Linked DNA regions of Bombyx mori. The protein of the gene in region 2 interacts with the protein of the main gene of each other region in a pairwise test. Links are inferred from orthologs where the notes say so. Each region holds a gene or a part of one and is shown on either strand. Other genes may lie near its edges.

The links. The genes of interacting proteins can lie anywhere in the genome.
Region 1: the proteins of splicing factor 3A subunit 1 (region 2) and splicing factor 3A subunit 2 interact in a two-hybrid assay, tested with the Caenorhabditis elegans proteins (2 studies listed by BioGRID). The link is inferred for Bombyx mori from reciprocal best matches to the Caenorhabditis elegans genes prp-21 and repo-1.

What each region holds. Positions count from the first base shown.
Region 1 is NC_085119.1:6,722,557-6,730,205, forward strand, and holds splicing factor 3A subunit 2, read left to right. Parts: upstream 1-1,599; 5' UTR 1,600-1,885; coding exon 1,886-2,039; intron 2,040-2,113; coding exon 2,114-2,377; intron 2,378-2,570; coding exon 2,571-2,938; 3' UTR 2,939-2,975; downstream 2,976-7,649. Other genes in the region: RpS10 (ribosomal protein S10), read right to left, coding at 526-725; uncharacterized protein LOC101737912, read left to right, coding at 5,198-5,231, 5,530-5,717, 6,200-6,318, 6,409-7,649.
Region 2 is NC_085112.1:2,355,331-2,367,186, reverse strand, and holds splicing factor 3A subunit 1, read right to left. Parts: upstream 11,479-11,856; 5' UTR 11,338-11,478; coding exon 11,223-11,337; exon of another isoform or gene 10,956-11,222; intron 9,759-10,955; exon of another isoform or gene 9,723-9,758; coding exon 9,558-9,722; intron 9,199-9,557; coding exon 8,396-9,198; intron 7,978-8,395; coding exon 7,678-7,977; intron 6,909-7,677; coding exon 6,717-6,908; intron 6,711-6,716; exon of another isoform or gene 5,083-6,710; coding exon of another isoform or gene 4,291-5,082; exon of another isoform or gene 3,609-4,290; coding exon 3,386-3,608; intron 2,987-3,385; coding exon 2,823-2,986; intron 1,761-2,822; coding exon 1,605-1,760; intron 1,400-1,604; coding exon 1,298-1,399; 3' UTR 1,124-1,297; downstream 1-1,123. Other genes in the region: transmembrane protease serine 3-like, read right to left, coding at 4,291-5,082.

The sequences.
Region 1 (7,649 bases), on a different chromosome or scaffold from region 2:
CTTAGAGAACACCAATATCCATTTTTCACTAAAACCTTAAGTTGCAATTTATGAAATCCAGAAGAGATGCAGTGTTGATATTACGGGTTGACACCACACAAGACACGATATGAGAATTAAATAATCCATTGAAAAGGTAAGTGATCTAAACAAAAATGTCTAAAATCAACAACATCAGATGTTTAAAGGTTGGTATTTCTCTGAAGGTAAGCAGCTTTTTTTTCAGATTCGTCATTTTGGTTGACAAAAAAAAGTTATTAGTGAAATTAATTTAATGCGCCAAACAATTCATATTATTATTAATGTGTACTCTATTGCACACCTAAACAACAGACATTGATTGACAGATATAAGTTAATCTCAATATTTAACATTCTCAACAAATTGTTAAAAGGTATAAAATATTAGTGTTTATATTAAATTAGTGTAGTTGATACAGAATTCTATGAGAATCGTATCATTACATTAAATCTATGAAAATTACGACAAATAATAGACAACACATGAAACATAATAAATATCTACCAGTAAAAGTGCCTCCAGGCAAACTGTTCTTTGACATAACCTCTGGACTTGAGTGATTGCATAGCTTTGATAACTTGGAGGTTAGGAATCTTCTCTAGTTCAGTATGCTTCGGTGCATGATAGTCTTTTTTGGCCACCATGACTCCCTCTTTAAAGAGGTACTCATAAATAGCAACACGGTTTTGTTTGGGCATCAACATCTTGAAAGCCGCCTAAAACAACAAATTATTGGGTTAAGACATACAAGTGAAAAAAACGTAGCACTTCTTGAAATATATTCATCACAAGATTACGCAATAACTTTTTTCTTCACTTATAACACTTATAATAAGTAATATGCACTGATTAATGTATTTAAGATCGATTTTATAAGAAAAACTGTACTACCTGTAGGCTAACTTAACACAGAAAAGAGCAAGGGGATTGAAGGGAAGTTTGTTGAAAGCTGTCAACTGTCAAATAGCAATCAATCGACAATCATCAACTTTGAATTCATACAGCCAAATCTTTTGTAGGGAAGACATAATATGAATATTAACTGAAATGTAAAATTGGAATGAATGGAATGAAATGACTAAAGGAAACGAAATTCAATGAGATGTTGTGTGTGTGTTTATATGAGCGCGCGCGTGCATGCATGTGTTAAAGTGAGTTTCGTCGAAATGAGGTTATTTCATTTAATTTCATTGAACACCTACAAATGTTTTACATCCATGTTGTTTTATTTCCATTAAATAGTGTCCGACTAACTTTTCATACTCGTACAAGAGACATACTTTAAGCGCTTACTACAGCAGATTTTGCTTGTAGTCAACATATCGTTTGTAGTAGCATAAAAAATGAAGAAAATTTATCAGTTACTTCATTTACTTTCATCCCAATTGATTAAAGTCTCAGATTACAGATTTCGTTTCGTTTCGATTCATGTCATGCTTCTTAATAATCAACTTCATTTCATTTCATAATATCATTTTTCATGGCCGTTTTCCATTTACCATTATTTAATGGTAGTTTTCTAATTACACAGAATAATCCGACTCAGTGACGCACAATGCCGAATTATGCGGAAGCTTAGTTGAGCATTATGCCGTATAATGCGCTCTTGTGCTGTAATTGGAAAACGGCCCATATAGAGAAAAGTTTTCATTAAAATTAAAATAAGACTTGACCTAAAGGTCTTAGTAACCAGGTCATAAAATCCCTTAAAAAAAATCAATTCATGTCATCAAATGTCATGTTAGGTTATATTAATTACAGAGCAGACTACGAATTTCAATTTAATTTAATGTCAAAGTTTAACTACTTTGTCAACTGGACAATTAATATTCTAAGCTTAAAATAAGTGTTACTTTTAATTAAAATGGATTTTCAAAATCGCCCTGGCGGTAAAACTGGTGGAGGAGGTGTAGCGTCATGGTCGGAAAGTAACAGAGACCGGCGGGAGAGATTACGACAGCTTGCACTAGAAACAATAGATTTAAACAAAGATCCATATTTTATGAAAAATCATTTAGGTGAGTAATAAACGTTAGTTATAACTTCAACATGTTAACCTCGTTCACTTCACAAACGTAAACTTCATTTTTAGGGTCCTATGAATGTAAACTTTGTTTAACCCTGCATAACAATGAGGGAAGTTATTTGGCTCACACGCAAGGGAAGAAGCATCAAGCCAATTTGGCACGTAGAGCTGCAAAGGAAGCCAAAGAAGCGCCTCAACAGCTTGCCCCGGAAAAACCTAGAATTGAACCTAAGAAATTTGTGAAGATTGGTAGACCTGGTTACAGAGTAACAAAACAGAAAGATCCTGAAACTGGACAGCAGAGCTTGCTCTTCCAAGTAGATTATCCAGGTACAGTCATTTCAATGATTATGAAAAGTGAAATTGAAATAAAAGTAGTTTAAATAGGTTTTCTTTTACAATTATTATATTTCTAATCTTTTACTCTTTAAAATTTATTTTAAGTCATTTAGATGAAATAATTCTTATTAACCATACTAAAAAGAGGAACAGATATTCAAATGCTGTGTAATATTTTTTTTAGAGATTGCAGAGGGTGTTATACCTAGACATAGATTTATGTCTGCTTATGAACAGAAGATTGAGCCTCCAGACCGCAGATGGCAGTATTTGTTATTTGCAGCAGAGCCTTATGAAACTATTGCATTTAAAGTCCCTAGCAGAGAAGTTGAAAAGCATGATTCAAAATTCTGGACTCATTGGAACAAGGACACAAAGCAGTTCTTTTTGCAGTTTGCATTTAAGATGGATCAGTTACGCATGCCTCCCCCCCATCCCAAAATGTGGGAGGGTCATAGCATGAGGTTGCCTCCACCTCCTGGAGCACCGATGTTGGGAGTACCACCGCCACCACCATTATTACCAGTGCCCCCACCACCACCCTCTATGTAATTAGTTGATATTTTTCCAATAAAGTTTTTGACATACATTTAATTTAATTTCATTAATTAACACTCTTTTCTGTTCAATTATGGTCTTTTTGTACTTTAATGTCAAGATGTTTTTAAACGAAAATACAAAAATTTCCAATATACATAAAAAAAATTATTGCTAACGATTGTGTCTTGACTTCAATTCCTGTAATAGGTCACCAGTAAGTAACCCTTAATGCCATGTAGGATGTGAGCTTGCATTCCAAATAGTCTTTTGATACCTACTTTGAGTTTGTAGGAAGTGTGATTAGCATAATAATGTAGCTTTTAGGAATGCGTTGGGTATCTTATCCTCTTGACCATGATGACTTTTCTTAAGAATCCTTAGTAGGAACATATTACTTCAGTCCTGGGTTTACCTAGTTCTACCTCCTTGGTGTGTTTAAATGTTATTTAAAAAAAGTGTTTAGAATGGTAATAAAAAGGGAGTTTTTCATTAAAAGATATATATGTCATAACTATGATAAAAGCTTTTTCTTTTCAATTTCGTACAAATATCTCAATTCCAATTTGAACAACTTATCTTTGTCTATGTCTTTTACAAATCGTTTTCACACACTCATGGTCGCAAGTTAATAATCTTACCCCGTCCTTATGGTACTAATTAAATAGTAATAACTACTAAATAAATAAAATAAAACTCAGTGTTGGTAAAATGAACATGAATCGGCAAAATTTGATGTAGCCATTTTAATAATAATCATTCTTGCTTGACTACCTATAGGTTCTTTTCAAATAAACAACTAATACACCTCGCAAACTCACTACCTTTTTTTTTTCGGCGCGGAGGCCGAACCTCCTACGAGGTTCCCGCGCCTTGGGGGCGCGCGGGGTATGTGGGACTTGACGATCTGCAAGGTGTTGGGAGCAGACCGCGGGCCCAAGGAATTTTAGGGCTCTACCGCACTAAACAACTCCCCTGCACTCTTACACCCGACGTCCGATCTCCGTCCGGGGTCAAAACCCGTCAGAGTAGGGGGTTCCCGCGGTCAACACTACAACCAGACACGTGGCGCCACAACATAACACAAATGTACGTAATTACAATTTTACATTTTTTTTCTTACCTAAGCTGATATTCTCTCAAGACCATATCAGCGTCACCGACCGAGTAGGTGAGCTCGCGGGGCTCAAACCTGACGTTGTTGCTAACCCGAACCCTCGAAAGAGCCGTGCTTCGCAGAATCTACCACCGGCTCGGAAACGCGACCCACTGAGAAGATCCGGTGAGAAACTCAGTGGGCTGTGTCTGTGGGTTAATATACTCGTCGAGCCCTTCGACGGGTTCGACGAGAACGATGACCGGTGCTTGGAGTACCTGCACCGTTGGTGGATCGGGAGGATCCGAGATGACGTGTTTTGGGTGACGTCGACTGTTTACCATTCGGTCCGCAGGATCAGGAATGTAGTTACCGGCGGCCACGACGGGAGGGAGAAGAGAGGATTTATCGAAATGGAATATTACATAAACAATACCGGAATCAACTGTAATTCAATTCAAAATACATATTATCTATATAATTGCATCCCCCATCGGCCGTTTCTCCCACCTATTCGCTCGTAGCCTAAGGGGCTATTTTAACTGCTCGCCAATGACGCTGCCTTATTGACGCTAATTCTAACTTAAGCACGTTAAAACGAAATTCGAAATGTTGCAGATAAAAATGATGAACTCTTTAGTTAAATATTTTATAACATAAAAAATTTAATTTCAAATTTTGATGCTGCCACGCAGTATTTTATGCCCTATCAAAGGATTTACATTATTATGCCCTATGTATGTGTAATGTAAAGTGAATTCAAAATCAAACAGTCGAATAATTTGACTTAGATTTCTGATTTTAAATCTCGTTTATTGTTTAAAATCTATGATTCTGCGTGGCACGGAACGTATTTTAACGGTTCGTTGCAGCTGTTCGTTTGTTGAATAGATATTATTGTTTATTATTACCAAGCGTCAATGCATAAAACCAACCGTCCAGTTTCCCGCGCCACATCGCAGTTCTGTTCAGTTCTCGGTTTCGGTCCAAGTCAAATTCCTTCTCTTAACTTTATAAGCTAGGTATTATAATTAACTGTCCATATATTAAACAGTTAATTAAATACATATGTAATACGAAATCTATTTTATTCATTAATAATTTAATACATTAACAGATCGTTCTCGTCGTTCCGGAAAACTATTTCCGAAGAACGCGATTCTTCAAATATATTCAGCATGTTTTCAAAAGCTAAGCGGTTTGAACCACTTGGTAAGTTTATTCACTACAGTTTAATAATGAATAGAACTAATAAACTTTCCACATTTAACGGTCCCCGGATACAATTTTCTACTATACCATAGGCACCGGAAACACATTTATAAGTCAAGAATATGTATCACGAATAAACAAAGTTACTGACTCAGACTGGGAATCGAACTTGGACTCGGTAGTAGAGCGATCCAACCTACTAAGCTAGACCAGCGAGTGTGATAAATGTACTGTAATTTATTTTGTTAAAGCCATAAATTTATTGATTCCTGTTTCTAAAAGTGCTTTAAAATTCCAGTTGCCCAGAAAAATCAAAAGAAGACAAATGTACATAAGAAATTAGATAGTGAAAGTACTAAAATTAATACGAAGACATCATCAAGTTTGTGCAAAAGTCGCAGTAACACACTCAATTCTATTAGACCAGTCGATGGGCAGTCTCAATGTAGTAGTGTCCAAAGTAGCAAATCATTAAAATTTGCCACAGTAAGTACTGTTTAAACTTTTTTACATTATGTTTTTATTGCAAATTCCCTGTTTGGTACAAACATGTAAATACCACATACTTGGCCTACTCCTTTGCAAAATTATTATAAATTTCTTCTACGAGTAGATAGCTATATGGTACTATAACATGTTTGCGAGAAGCTGGAATAGCCCCTTAAACTACCAGTAAATATGTAGGGAAAAAAGGTACTGTCAGCATTATTTTAATGCTCAATATTAATTGTAGTAATTGTAACATTATATGCCCTAGCTCATGTACTTATTCACTGTATTTAAAAGAATTTTTGACAATGGGCTAGGTAGTAATTGTTTTTTAACTTAGTGACAATATTACCACATTACTGTGCACATGCAGTTGTGGGTTCAGTCTTTATAATGAAATGTATGAAAAAGTCGTCAATTGCTGTGTATAAAATATGAACAAACATAATATAAATTATAAGCGAGTTAATTAATTTCAGCCCAAAGCTTTCAAAATTACCAAAGCTCCTAACAGCAGCATTAAGAAAACATTAACATGTCCCAAAAATAAAATATTACCACAGGATGAATTAGTTCAAGCACAAGATGTTGAAATAAGGTGAGTCTTGTAAATAATTATTTCAATTAGCTGATAAATTCACTTGATCTTAAAATTTATTTAGTATAATTAAATACTATTTTATTTCAGAAATAAGGACCAAACCATATGTGAGTATAACAAGCAAATAGAAGATTACAAAAATGAGATAGCTCAACTTCAAGAAATTTTAAAAGAACTTGCAACTAAATTTAGGCAATCTCATAACAATATTGATTTCAATGAAATTGACAGAAAACTTTCTAAGCTTAGAATTAATAACACAAATTGCCACACGGAACATAATGCTGTTCAAGGTACAGACGCTGAGAAAGTTTCTGCCATGATAAATGATATGAGAAGTAGGATTATTGAACTTGAAAAAAAATGTGAAGCACTTGACAATGAAGTGTATGATAAGCAGATGGAATTGTCATCACTGGAAGAAGTGATCACTGTAAGAGATAGTTTGTGTAAAGATTTACAAGAAAAATTAACAAGCAATGAATTAACATTAGCTGAAACACAGCAGAGATTGGAGATGGTTAAGGGACACCATGCTTTGGCACTGGAAGCTAATGAAAGTATCAGGAGAGAGTACAAAATAGAATTGGAAGCTCTAAAGACTAAATTGGATGAAGAAAAACAAGCCATTATCAGTAAATGTAAAGTTGATCAAGAAAATCTTAAAACAAAACATAATGCATCAATTGAATCCTTGAAAAACCAAATGTTAAAAGAGAAATGTGAGGCTTTAGAACAACTCCATAGTCAATTGATTATTAAAGAACAGGAAATGAAAGCGAAACTTGAACAAATTGAGGAATCTGCTAGTGAAAAACTTAAAATATGTGAAATACAGTTTGAGGAGCGGAGCCAAAGCATTCAAGAGCATTGCTCGCAGCAAGAGAAAACTATACAATATTTGGAACAAGAGATAAAAGAGTTAAAATATACTTTAGATTTAACCAACAATCAGAATTCCGATTTGAAACAGGAATTGAACAATTTGAAAAATTGTAAAGATGAATTGTCAACTGAAAAGTTTAATTTTATTGAAGAAATAAAGACTTTAAAAGATGAGCTAATTGAGAAAACTATTAACTATGAAAATGAAAAGAATAAATTAAATCTTGCAGTGGAAAAAGCTATCAAAGAGAAAAACAAATTTGAAACATCTTTGTCAGTAACAAGAGATATTGTACACGTTTTAACATTGCGATTGCGAGAATCTGACAGTGAATTAGAACAATTGGAAGACCAAGTACAGATGTTAACAAGTGCAAAAGAAGTGTTAGAAAATGAATTAACTACGTATAAAAATACTCTAAACAACACTGTCAGAGAGTGTG
Region 2 (11,856 bases):
CACCGTGGAGGGGAGCTCATTCCATAGCCAAATGGTACGTGGCAAAAAGACCTCTTGGAACGCACTGTGGATGAATGTAGTGGCTCCAGGTAGTATGGATGAACTCTACTCCGGTGGTGGGCGGTGCGATGGTAAAAACGAGATGATGGTATCATCTGTAACAATTATTTTTTTATTGCTTAGTGGATGGACGAGCTCACAGCCCACCTGGTGTTAAGTGGTTACTGGAGCCCATAGACATCCACAACGTAAATGCGCCCACCCACCTTGAGATATAAGTTCTAAGTTCTCAGTATAGTTACAACGACTACCCCACCCTTCAAACCGAAACGCATTACTGCTTCACGGCAGAAATAGGCAGGGTGGTGGTACCTACCCGTGCGGACTCACAAGAGGTCCTATCACCAGTAATCCACCAGCTGGCGATCTTCTTGTATACCTTACTCACAAGTGGGCTGAAACCTTCGAGAGCTAGGGCGAGGGTCTTGCTGTAAGTCTGAATATCGTGAAGGCATTCGACAGGGCCTGGCATAGGGCACTTCTGTCGATGTTACCATCTCACGGAATCCCCGAGAGACAGCAAGTGGATCGCTAGCTTTTTGGATGGGGAGAACATCACAAACTTAAGACGGTTGCTGCTCCGATACCGTGGCCATTAATGCTAGCGTTCCACAAGGTTCGGTACTCTTCCCCACGCTTTTCATCCTGTATATTAATGATATGCTATCTATTGATGGCATGCTTTTTTTATGGCTTAAATGGATGGACGAGCTCACAGCCCTGGTGTTAAGTGGTTACGGAGTCTATAGACATTTACATAATAGTCGTCGTGGCCTAATTGATGACGTCTGGTGCATACGTGTTGAGGTGTTGAGGATGACGCATTTACGTTGTAGATATCTATGGGCTCCAGTAACCACTTAACCCAGATGGGCTGTGAGTTCGTCGAACCATGTAAGAAAAAAAAAGCTGAGACACCGTGACTTAAACCGTATTGTCGGTCATTGATCAGCTGGCGATCCTCAAGATACTTCAAGAGTTCACATATATTCTTATTGGGAATAAGAGGTCTTGGATTAGGGGTGTGATAGGTCAGGGTTACCAACAATAAATAATTACAATATTATTTGGTAAATATTTAATTTTCCCACCATTAGATAATTTCAATGAATCTTTTTATCACGACTAACGTAACAACCTATTGACTGAATGTCAATATTCTGATGTAAATTCTGTATTAATTCTTCCAACGTGTTTCGCAGTCCCTTATCATTAACTTTTATAGTATTTTTTTGTATTATTTCTTTCTACCGCCTCGTTCCTTGATCTGTAGCTGTATGACGGCACCCGGGGGCACGTTGTAGTACGCCAAGCTGTTAGTATCCTTGAAGAACAGACCCTGGAACAATACTTATATATTATCTGATGGAAGATTCTGCGAAGCACAGCTCTTGCTAGGGTTCGTGTTAGCAACAACGTCAGATTTGAGCCCCATGAGCTCACCTATTCGCCTGACGCTAATATGGTCTGTCAAAACCGGGGAAAAAATATGGCTAATCATTTGTTACGGTGAGCTATGCGAGTATTTGAGCGTGTCGGGATACCTCGTAGTGCAGCTTCTGCTTGGCGGTGGGCATGTTGGTGGCGCGCTGCAGCATGGCCTTGAGCTCGGCGACGGCGGCCGACAGCGGCAGCGTCAGCGGCACCGCGCGCCCGTCCAGCCGCCACTCCGCGCGCTCAGGCGCCGCCGGCAACGACACCTGCCGACACAAGGGACAAGGGCATTAGGGTACAATATCATACAATTAACATAATGCATTCCTGGTGGTAGGACGTCTTGTGAGTCCGCACGGGTAGGTACCACCACTCTAGGGCCCTGAAAACATCCTTGGGCCCGCAGTCTCGCAGTCGCGGACCAGTCCCACGTACCTACCCCGCGCGCCTCCTAAGCGCGGAGACCTCGTAGGAGGTACGGGTGCTTTTCAGTATATTATCAAAATAGCCCTTCTACTCATATCTGTTCATAAAATATTTATAACTATTGATACAGTGCGCCCCACGATTTTTTTACAATAATATAATTTTTTCTTAGACTATTTTTAATTAAAATTTATTTTCTATTTTTTTAGTTGAATTTTAATTTATTAATTTTTTTTTTCAATATTTCAAAACTTTCATCTGATACAGTCGGTAACTTATCCGAGAAATAGGTAATCAGCGGGCCTGGTGGTTTCCCATCTTGGTTTTGACGCAGACACTCAGGGTCTCAGGAAAACAAAAAATCGCTATTCCTGATTATCCTAGTAAGGATAACGAGTCTAATTGTTTAAAATATTGAATTTTAATCGGTCCTTAATAAGTATGCCAAATTTCGAATCAATCTGACGTTTTGAAGGGGGTCAAAATCATGTTCAAAGATTCCGTTACTTACTAACATACGTATGAAGCTAATAAAACCGTATTAAATTAGAGCACTTCTGTCTACATATTAATATTGGGGGTATATTAATAATACGCGCGGGTGGGTACCACCACCGTGCCTATTTCTGCCGTGAAGCAGTAATGCGTTTCGGTTTGAAGGGTGGGGCAGCCGTTGTAACTATACTTAGACCTTAGAACTTATATCTCAAGGTGGGTGGCGCATTTACGTTGTAGATGTATATGGGCTTCAGTAACCACTTAACATCAGGTCGGCTGTAAGCTCGTCCACCCCTCTGAGCAATAAAAAAAAATAAAAAAACACTGGACCGATTTTCTATTTGTTTGTAGTTGTAATGTTTGTTAGCGTAAGAGCAATCATTGTAGTGTTACTGGTAGCCCACCTGCAGGGGGACTGCGCCGGGGTGGCGCGCGAGCCAGGCGCCCTCGGGCTCCAGCGCGTCCTCGGTGCGGGCTCTCTTAGCGGCCGGGCCCTCGTCCTCGGGCTCCGCCACTGTGCCCGGAGGGACTACCGCTCCGAAGTTGAACGCCGGCGGTGGTACTGCACCTAAGGCGATGCAATCACATTATTGGTACAAAATGTACTGAGCGGATGTGTTATGCAAGAAGCACACACAATATTTGGATAGTTGCATGCATTACTGGCACGCGAATCTACAGCTCAACTGGCGTTAGGTGGGGTCCAACACACCGTGGGTGCACAGACCGAAGCCGATACTCACCGACCCACGATGGGTCGGTCCCCTGCACAGAACACTTTGACCATATGATCCCCTCACAGCGATCACATTCAGATGTCACTTTACTCTATCATTCCATCAACTCTTCCTCTAATCTGTAGCTTAACTCCCTAAGACTACATGTACATTGTCCGGCACCAGTAAATCAGGCACGCGATCTTAGCGCCATGTTGTACGGAATGTGTGCAGTGTTCGAGTATACGTACCCACTGGAGCCGGTATGAGCGGAGGTCGGGGCGCCATGGGGGGCAGGACCATTAGCGAGGACATCGGCTGCAGCAGCACAGGCGGTGCCGGGGGCGGGGGAGGCGGAGCAGCGCGGGGGGCAGAGGGGGGCGCGGGGGGACGCCCCGCCCGGCTCTGGGCTGCCCCGGTCACTGGCTTCGGACCTATTTTCTCTTTCTCCTCGTCGGGGAGTAGACCTTTAACCTGAATTGTAATCAATCGTAATGAGTATCTTAAACGAGTTTCGAAGAGAATGTTGCAATAGTATTTCTTATTATGCTCGTTAAAAAAGTGTATCTTCAAATAACCTAAGCTATTACGTCATGTTTACCATTATACAATTTCCTTACTATTTGGAAATGCAGTAAGAAGTTACTAAGGCGTATGTCGCAGAGAGCATGGAACAATTATTTGAACAAACTAATGGCCAACTCCAGGTCAACAGCTTCACGGAACCTATAAACATCAGATATAGTTCACCAAATGAATTCCATGAATTCCGCCACCTCCCTTTATTACAAGTGTTATGTATAGATATTAAATCGCATTATAAAATGGCGGGTAGATGCAAAAATAAACCAGTCTGCTTTGGAATCTTTCATTTGTGCATACACAACAGTATAAGCTAAGCAAGTAAAATAACGAGAAGATAAAACATTGATCCAACACAAGCCCGAAGCGTACAAAGTTAGTCAGTGTAAAATATCAATACTTTAGTGAGCAGGCTTAACTAAAGGCGGGTAATCATCAAGTTAACTGAGCATTTTTAATTGCTTTTAAAAGCTAAATACAAATAAAGCTCATAAACAAACACTTTTATTGAGAAAACAATACAAATTTCATCCGTTCACTGAAGCTTCTGACACCAATCTTACACTAGCTACTATTAGCTCTTGATATGAGTATGAATCCAATCTATATATGGCACAATTGAAGTCATTGTCTCAATTTGATAGGCCTGCTGTCTCTCATTGTTCTCCAAGCAGTCCCTCTTGCGTCCACTGGCCAGGAGTGCTATGACCCCGGTGCTGTGGATGGCTATACCTCCAGTTTCCTGGTGACAAGCGTCGGTCAACGAGCAGGACCGAGCCAAACACATCCCCGGATAAGTAACGGTGCCTTCACAAGTCTTCACCACAACCGATGAAATCTGTAGAGTTCTCTTCAATTTTCCACTGGTATCATTGGTCGACTTGAAGCCTATTAGCTCAACTTCGTAACCGTTCATAGAGAACATGTCAACGGCGCTCAATTTGGCGAACTGTTTAAGGGTGATGGGATCGGTGCGCAGAAGGCCGATGTCGTTGTGAAGCATTCTCGGTGACGCGGCATATCTGGGGTGGACTATTCCGGAAAGGATCGCGATGGCGGTGTCCTGGGAAGGTTTCTGCGTGAGTCCATAGTACACCACCCATGACATCTTCGGATCCTGGATTAGCAAGTCTTCGGTTTTGGAGACGCAGCGCGCGGTGGTCAGGGTCCAGGTCGGGGTCAGCACGCACCCCGAGCACAGCAGAGCGTTCGTCGTAGTATTCGTGAGTTTTAACTCGACCGTCACAACGTACGGGTACTCATCTTCTAAAGCATCTCTGCCTGTGCGCAGTGATTTCGTGCAAACCACAATATTTACAGTTTGCAAAACGAAATATAACATTAGATTCAATGCCACAATACCCATTATGTATTACAATGTTGTTCAACATAAGAGAAATACAATACACGTGAAACATTTTTATTGTTTTTCTGTTTTAATGTTTTATATTTTATTGACGAGATTTTTATTACGCGCTGTGCAATGTTATTCGCGATCGGGTTTCCCAGCAGTTTGATTGATATTTTATTTGTTTAAGGCATTTACGATAGTTTATGAAAACTTTTTTCTGGCACAGTGGGGGTGGGGAAATGTGTTAGTGCTTGTCCTTTTGGGAATACGCTGCCACAAACACAAGTAACTGAGTTTCTTTCACCGGGTCTTCTCATTGGGCCGTGATTCCGACCCGATGGTAGATTCTGCGAAGCACTGTGCTTGCTAGGGCTAGTTTTAGTAAATTCTCTCAGGATGAGCCCAGGGAGCTCACCTACCGGTCCGTGAGTAGTTAGAATAGCCCTTTAGGGTACCGACGATTAGGTAAGCAAAAAAATGCAAGCCCTTTCCTGCATTGAAGGAATCAGGGTTGAAGCCAATGTTCAATGAATCCAATGATTTTTTTATATATCATAATAATACCCTTTTTTGATTCATCCTACTTAATATTATAAATGTGAAAGTGTGTAAGAATGTATAGACATATTCAGAAAAGTACTTCGTAATTTTTCGGAAAAGTTCGTATTTATCGTGCTCTCTCAGTGCAATGACATTATTCATTTTGACACTAAATAATAAAGTTCCATACTATTGGATATGAAAATGTTACTCATTTAATATAATCATTCATTGACTGTTCGGGTGTCATCGTATTCCGATAAAGATCAGAGTTTTCCCGAAGGAAAATAATTTCCCACTACATCTTAATTGTTACTCTTTCACGCAAAAAGTGCTCAATGAATTTTGATGAAGCTTACAATAATATAGCTTACACTGCAGAATAACATGCATGTTAATCATGGTTGTAATGAATGGTAGGTGGATCAATATTTGAATAGTTATGACTATTCACAATCGAGTGCGCGATATTATGAAAGATGAAGATAGAAAATTCAATAAGATCAATAATAAGTTATAGTTCCCGAAGCGAAGCACGGGCGGGTCGCTAATTTAACCCTCAGACACAGCCTACTGAGTTTCTCGCCGGATCTTCTCAGTGGGTCGCGTTTCCGATCCGGTGGTAGATTCTGCGAAGCACTGCTCTTGCTAGGGTCAGTGTTAGCAACACTCCCGGTTTGAGCCCCGTGAGCTCACTTACATGTTAGGGCGAAGCTGATATAGCCGCTTAAGACTCAGTATATAGAAAAAAAAGTCACTAAAATCGAGTGCAACACTAAAATATTTGTATATTATTTTAAATTTTGTGGCTGGATTTATTCGCATTGTTTTCGGCCCCGGTTTATGTACTAGGAGACTCGACACATATTTTTCTACACATGCGTTTAAAATTTGAAAATTTCAAACTATTTTGTTCTATGAAAAAAAAAAAACGAAATTAATAAAGAAACATTTTGTAGTGGACCAAATGGTGTATCTAGAAGAAAAAGCCTCTCAAGGCTATCAGCATAGGTAGGGGGAAAAATGTATAAAAAGGAATATGCGGAGCTCTTTTGGAGGTGGCATTGTCCTTGTCGTTGGCCTGGTGGAAGGGAGGCGGCGCGGCTCACCTTGTGTATCTGCTGGATCTGGTCCTCGAGCGTGATGTGCGCCCTGGCGGCGCGGGTGGCGGCCTCCACGCTGGAGGTGTGCCCGTCCCACGTCACGCGCTCGTCGCGCTTCTTCTCCTCCTCGCCGATCTTCTTACCGATGGTCGTTTCCTCGTCCCCTACACCGAAGATGTCAGTACGACGCTCCGCCAACTACAACAAATGTTTATTATTTTCTTAACAGACTTACAAAATAAGGAGGTTTGCAATTCGACATTTTTTTGTTTCCTGAGGTTTTTTTCTCTTGTGAATTGATTTTGATGATTTGTTTATTTGAAAGCATGGTGCCATTTAAATTTTATGAAGATTTGATCAGTAGTTTTGGAATTATCCTCAATAGTTGCACATTTATTGACTTCAGACGTTTCTCTCTCGTTGTATTTTGTTGAATTCAGTTTTTTATTTAAAATTTGATATTATTATATAAACTTATTTATTTATTTACGTACACACAAAAAAGAAGGCATAGTACCGAGTAATAGGAAAATTATGTACAAAGGCACTGCTTATTTTTTTAAGAAATCTCTTCCAGCAGACCTGCGAGAGGATTATGAGAATAATAATTAAAAGTGATGAGTGTGTGTAGAACAGCTAAAATAACAAATACAACATGAGAATTATAGTAATGCACATACACATAGCAAATAGTTACTGGTGGTAGGACCTCTTGTGAGTCCGCACGGGTAGGTACCACCTCCCTGCCTATTTCAGCCGTGAAGCAGTAATGCGTTTCGGTTTGAAGGGCGGGGCAGCCGTTGTAACTATACTGAGACCTTAGAACTTATATCTCAAGGTGCGTGGCGCATTTACATTGTAGATGTCTATGGGCTCTAGTAACCACTTAACACCAGGTGGGCTGTGAGCTCGTCCACCCATTTAAGCAATAAAAAAATTTATCAAAAAAGTTTGGATGTGGGCATACCTGTTTAAGCGAAGCCTCGATGGCGGCCCCGGGGGCGAGCGCCTCGTCCCGGTCGGTGCGCTCGGCGGCGGCGCGGTCCCGCTGCTCCAGCCAGCGCGGGTCCAGCAGCCCGATGCGCACGTGCTCGGCCACCTTGCTGGCGGGGATCTTCTCGCCGGTGATGGGCGACACGAGCCACTCGTCCCCGGCGGCGGCGCGGGGCTTCGCCTCCTTGGGGTTGTACTTCTTGACGACGACGCGGTCGGGGCGCGGCGGGAGGGGCGCCTCGTCCGCGCGCGGGGCGTCTTGCTCCGTCTCGGACTGAAAAATAATTTACATGAATATTAGCTATGATATTATCAGAACAGCTTTTTTTTTATAATAAATAAATATTTACTAACAATCACACCACGTTAACTGGTTCTGTGCTAAGTTCGTAAAGAACTTGTGTTACAGGTACCAGATAACGGAAATAAATGTAAGATTTTTATTATACACATACATATATTTAATATACATCCATAACCCTGGAAAAAACATTTTATATTTATCATACAAATATCTTCCCTTGGCGGGATTCGAACCCGCGACCCTGTTGTGTAGTGACCATGTCACTTACCACTGCATCAAACGGCTCTGAACTGTATATATAGCATTGAAGGATTTTTTAAATGCTAGCTTTGAAATCAGTTTGTTGATACTGGTTCAGCTTAAATTGTAAAATCATTAAAAATATTACCTCCGAAGTCGAGCTTTCCTCTTCCATGTCTTGCACGCGGTTATCGTCCGGCCGATGGGACTGAGTTCGATCCTCCATTTCCGCAAGTTCCTCATCAGACTCCGATTCCGATTCGGATTCAATTTGCATCTCAGTATCATCGTCGTCATTCTGGTTCCGTATTATATCTTCACCCCTCTCTTGGGCGAGGACGCGGGCTCCGACTTCTAGTGGAGTGGTCGGAGGAGGGAAGTCTCCGGGTTCCCCTGCGGGGTAATCTACAGTTTCAACAACGACAAAATCGTGCCAGTCTATGGAGGCATACGCGAGCCTCTCTTTCTCAATTTTGGCCTCGTCAGCGGCCTTGCGCTTGGCTTGGTGCGCGTGCCAGGCAGCGCGACTGCGAGCTTGTTCTAATATCCCGCTGCGTATCTCAGCATTCAGCTTTGATACTAGTTCTTTTGGCGGCAGCAACACCTTCGTGTACTGCTCAAGCAGACGCGTGAAGTATTGGAACAGTGAATGCTGGGGACGAAGAAAATCAAACTGATGATTACGCTCCTCTTTCTTCATTAAATCCGTTAAGAACTGACGACCGTTTCTGGCGACAAATTGCGCGGTTAATTTCACTATGTCGAGCTCCAGAGCCGATATAGACGGTGGATCAGCGATAAATTCGAAATCTGGTGGTGGGTCGCGCGGCGGAGGCAGTTCTGCAGGAGCAGCTGCCTTGAGGAGCTCCTGCTGGCGGGCCGCTGTGGCTGGAGCGAGACCCATTCGTTGCTGTCCTGATGGCATAGTTGGTGGTGCAGTTGGTTCGGGAACTAAAAAAATACGACTATCAGTGACATAAGCAGACTAGATTTTAATCTTTCTATCAAATGTAAGTTGACCAAGCTGTGCAAATTTTATGTTAGAAGAACAATTCTTTCTTTTAATCAAAGCTGAGACATGATTTGTTTTTCTAGTGTAAAACAATTAAAGTGAAATGTTCCATAAGCAAACAGGTCATATTCATCACATATGTATATAATCAACAGTTGCTATGCTGGCCCACATAATAATATCAACAAGTTGTCCTGAACCCACAAATTTGACAATAGCCTTCTTTCTGTCACATTGTTATGTTAATATTTTAATTAAATTTTATACTAATTTAAATGAATAGAATTTGAAAACTTACCTTTTCCCTCTTTGATCTCTCTGACTTTATGCTGATAGTAAGCATGGTAGGGATCCCCTGAATTAAGGAAGTTGAACTTTGGATTGCCCAGCTCATTCTGTCTGATCCTAGCTTCAAATTCAGGACCATTACGAGCCACAAAGCTGGCAGTTTTATCAACAATATCTATTTAGCTGGGTTAAAGAAATATTTTTGAAAATTCTGAAATAAAACTTTGAGCTAATTTAATTTTGAATATCTTTCTGACTAAAATAAAGAACTGGGAATAAAGAATATTTATAGCATACCGAGCATGAAAGAGTAATAATGAACTATTTAAACATAAACAGAAAACGATATTAACCATAAAATATAGTGAGGAACTAAAATTTTCTTTCATAAACATATCAACGCTTGAAAGGCAAACATGACTAAGCGACAATAACTGCTTTGTACAGAAGTGATAGGCAATAACCATATTCGATGCGCAAAAAATATATATTTCTAGGTCTATTAAAATCATTTCAACCCTACAGCTAGATTCGTTATAATAGAATTTTTTTCAGGTATTTCTTATGTATATTTTAAATTAATTTCAACTTTAAATTAGTCTACTGTAAAGTTCATGCATTGTCGCTTAGTCACATTTGCCTTTCAAGCGTCAATATATTTTAAGTGAAACCTGATTTTAAGGTTTTAAGTATCCTTACTTGAGGAACAATCTCACAGTCCGCCAGGGGTAAAGCAGTTATCAGAGCCTATTGAAATCACAATTAAAATACTCCATACTTTCAGAAATGTTTTTTTTTATTGCTTTGATGGGTGGACAAGCTTACAGTCCACCTGATGTTAAGTGGTTACTGGAGCCCATAGACATCTACAGCTTAAATGCGCCACCCACCTTGATATAAGTTACAACGGCTGCCCCACCCTTTAAACCGAAACGCATTACTGCTTTATGGCAGAAATAGGCAGGGTGGTGGTACCTACCCATGCGGACTTACAAGAAGTCACAAAATCATTTTCAAACAATTGGGCTTTCAATTAACAAAAATATTGACAGAATGGGCTAATTAAAAGTGAATTCAGTTATTAATTTTCTACTTATTGTGGAGATTGCCTATTATCATGAACAATCAAGTCTACAAGATATTAATCCTTTATCTATTTCAAAATGAATTTCTTTGTATTTCAATCAAATTTCCTTAATAATTTATTTAGTAGCTATCATGCTTAGTGTTATCAAAAAATACACACAGAGTTGTTTTTCCAAAATGTTAATAACCAACAAACGAGAATTTGTTAAAATTTCCATCCTTTTTTTTATTATCACATTATTAACTTCCTTGTGCTAGGAAATAATTTAATAATCTTACCAAACCAAATATGCATGGCAAAACAGATCATGATCATACTTACAAAAATCAAACTATGTGACAGTTTAATTATGTATTTGTATCCTTTATGCGAATCGTTGTTTTCTTGGTTACGCCGATTATGTTTTTTAACCATGAATCAACGAATTAATCCAAACTCGAAAGACCTGATTCCGGTGGACAGCGGATGTTTCAGTGCCGTCAATTTGATATCAGAAAAGTATTTAGGATATTTTGATTTCGGATTAAAATGCATTAAAATCGTAATTTATATCTAAATACTACCTGTTTATTATTGTTAAAAGGATACTTCTGACTTCAGGTGGTGGATAAATAATGCCAATGACTGGAGGGGGTGGTGGAGGCGGATCTTCCGGGATCTCTAACGACTGCCCCGGTGGTAGCATTACATCTATAGATGGCATTGTGCCTTCCGTTTACAGCTACTCTCTCAGAAAAGTAGACGATATTTACGCACTATGAACAACAATTTACAACAACAGCCCAAATGACGCTATAAATAACCTCAAAATTTGACAGTAGTAGTAGTTCTATTTTTCCAACTGAAAAGGCAAAGATATCCTACCATACAGCTTAATTTTTGTATATTCTAATCTCTTTCATGAAAAATTAAGGAGCAAAATGAAGTTGATTGAATGATTTGCGGCATTTGAGATGAAATTAAATGAAACGATATAATGTGAGATGAAATATAATCTCAGTGAAATAGTAGTTATTTACTGAGAATTTCAGTAGACTTTTTGGAAGATCCCGAGAAACTCTGTCCAGCGCCTTTGTTTCATTATCCCCATGGAGTTATTATGTACCTTCCCATTAAAATTTTACAGTAGTAAAATTTAGATCCTTTATTGTTCTAAAACAGGGCAAGCAAAGGAATCATATCAAAAACTTTAATTTATAGAAGAAGGCCTTGCGTCTGTTGT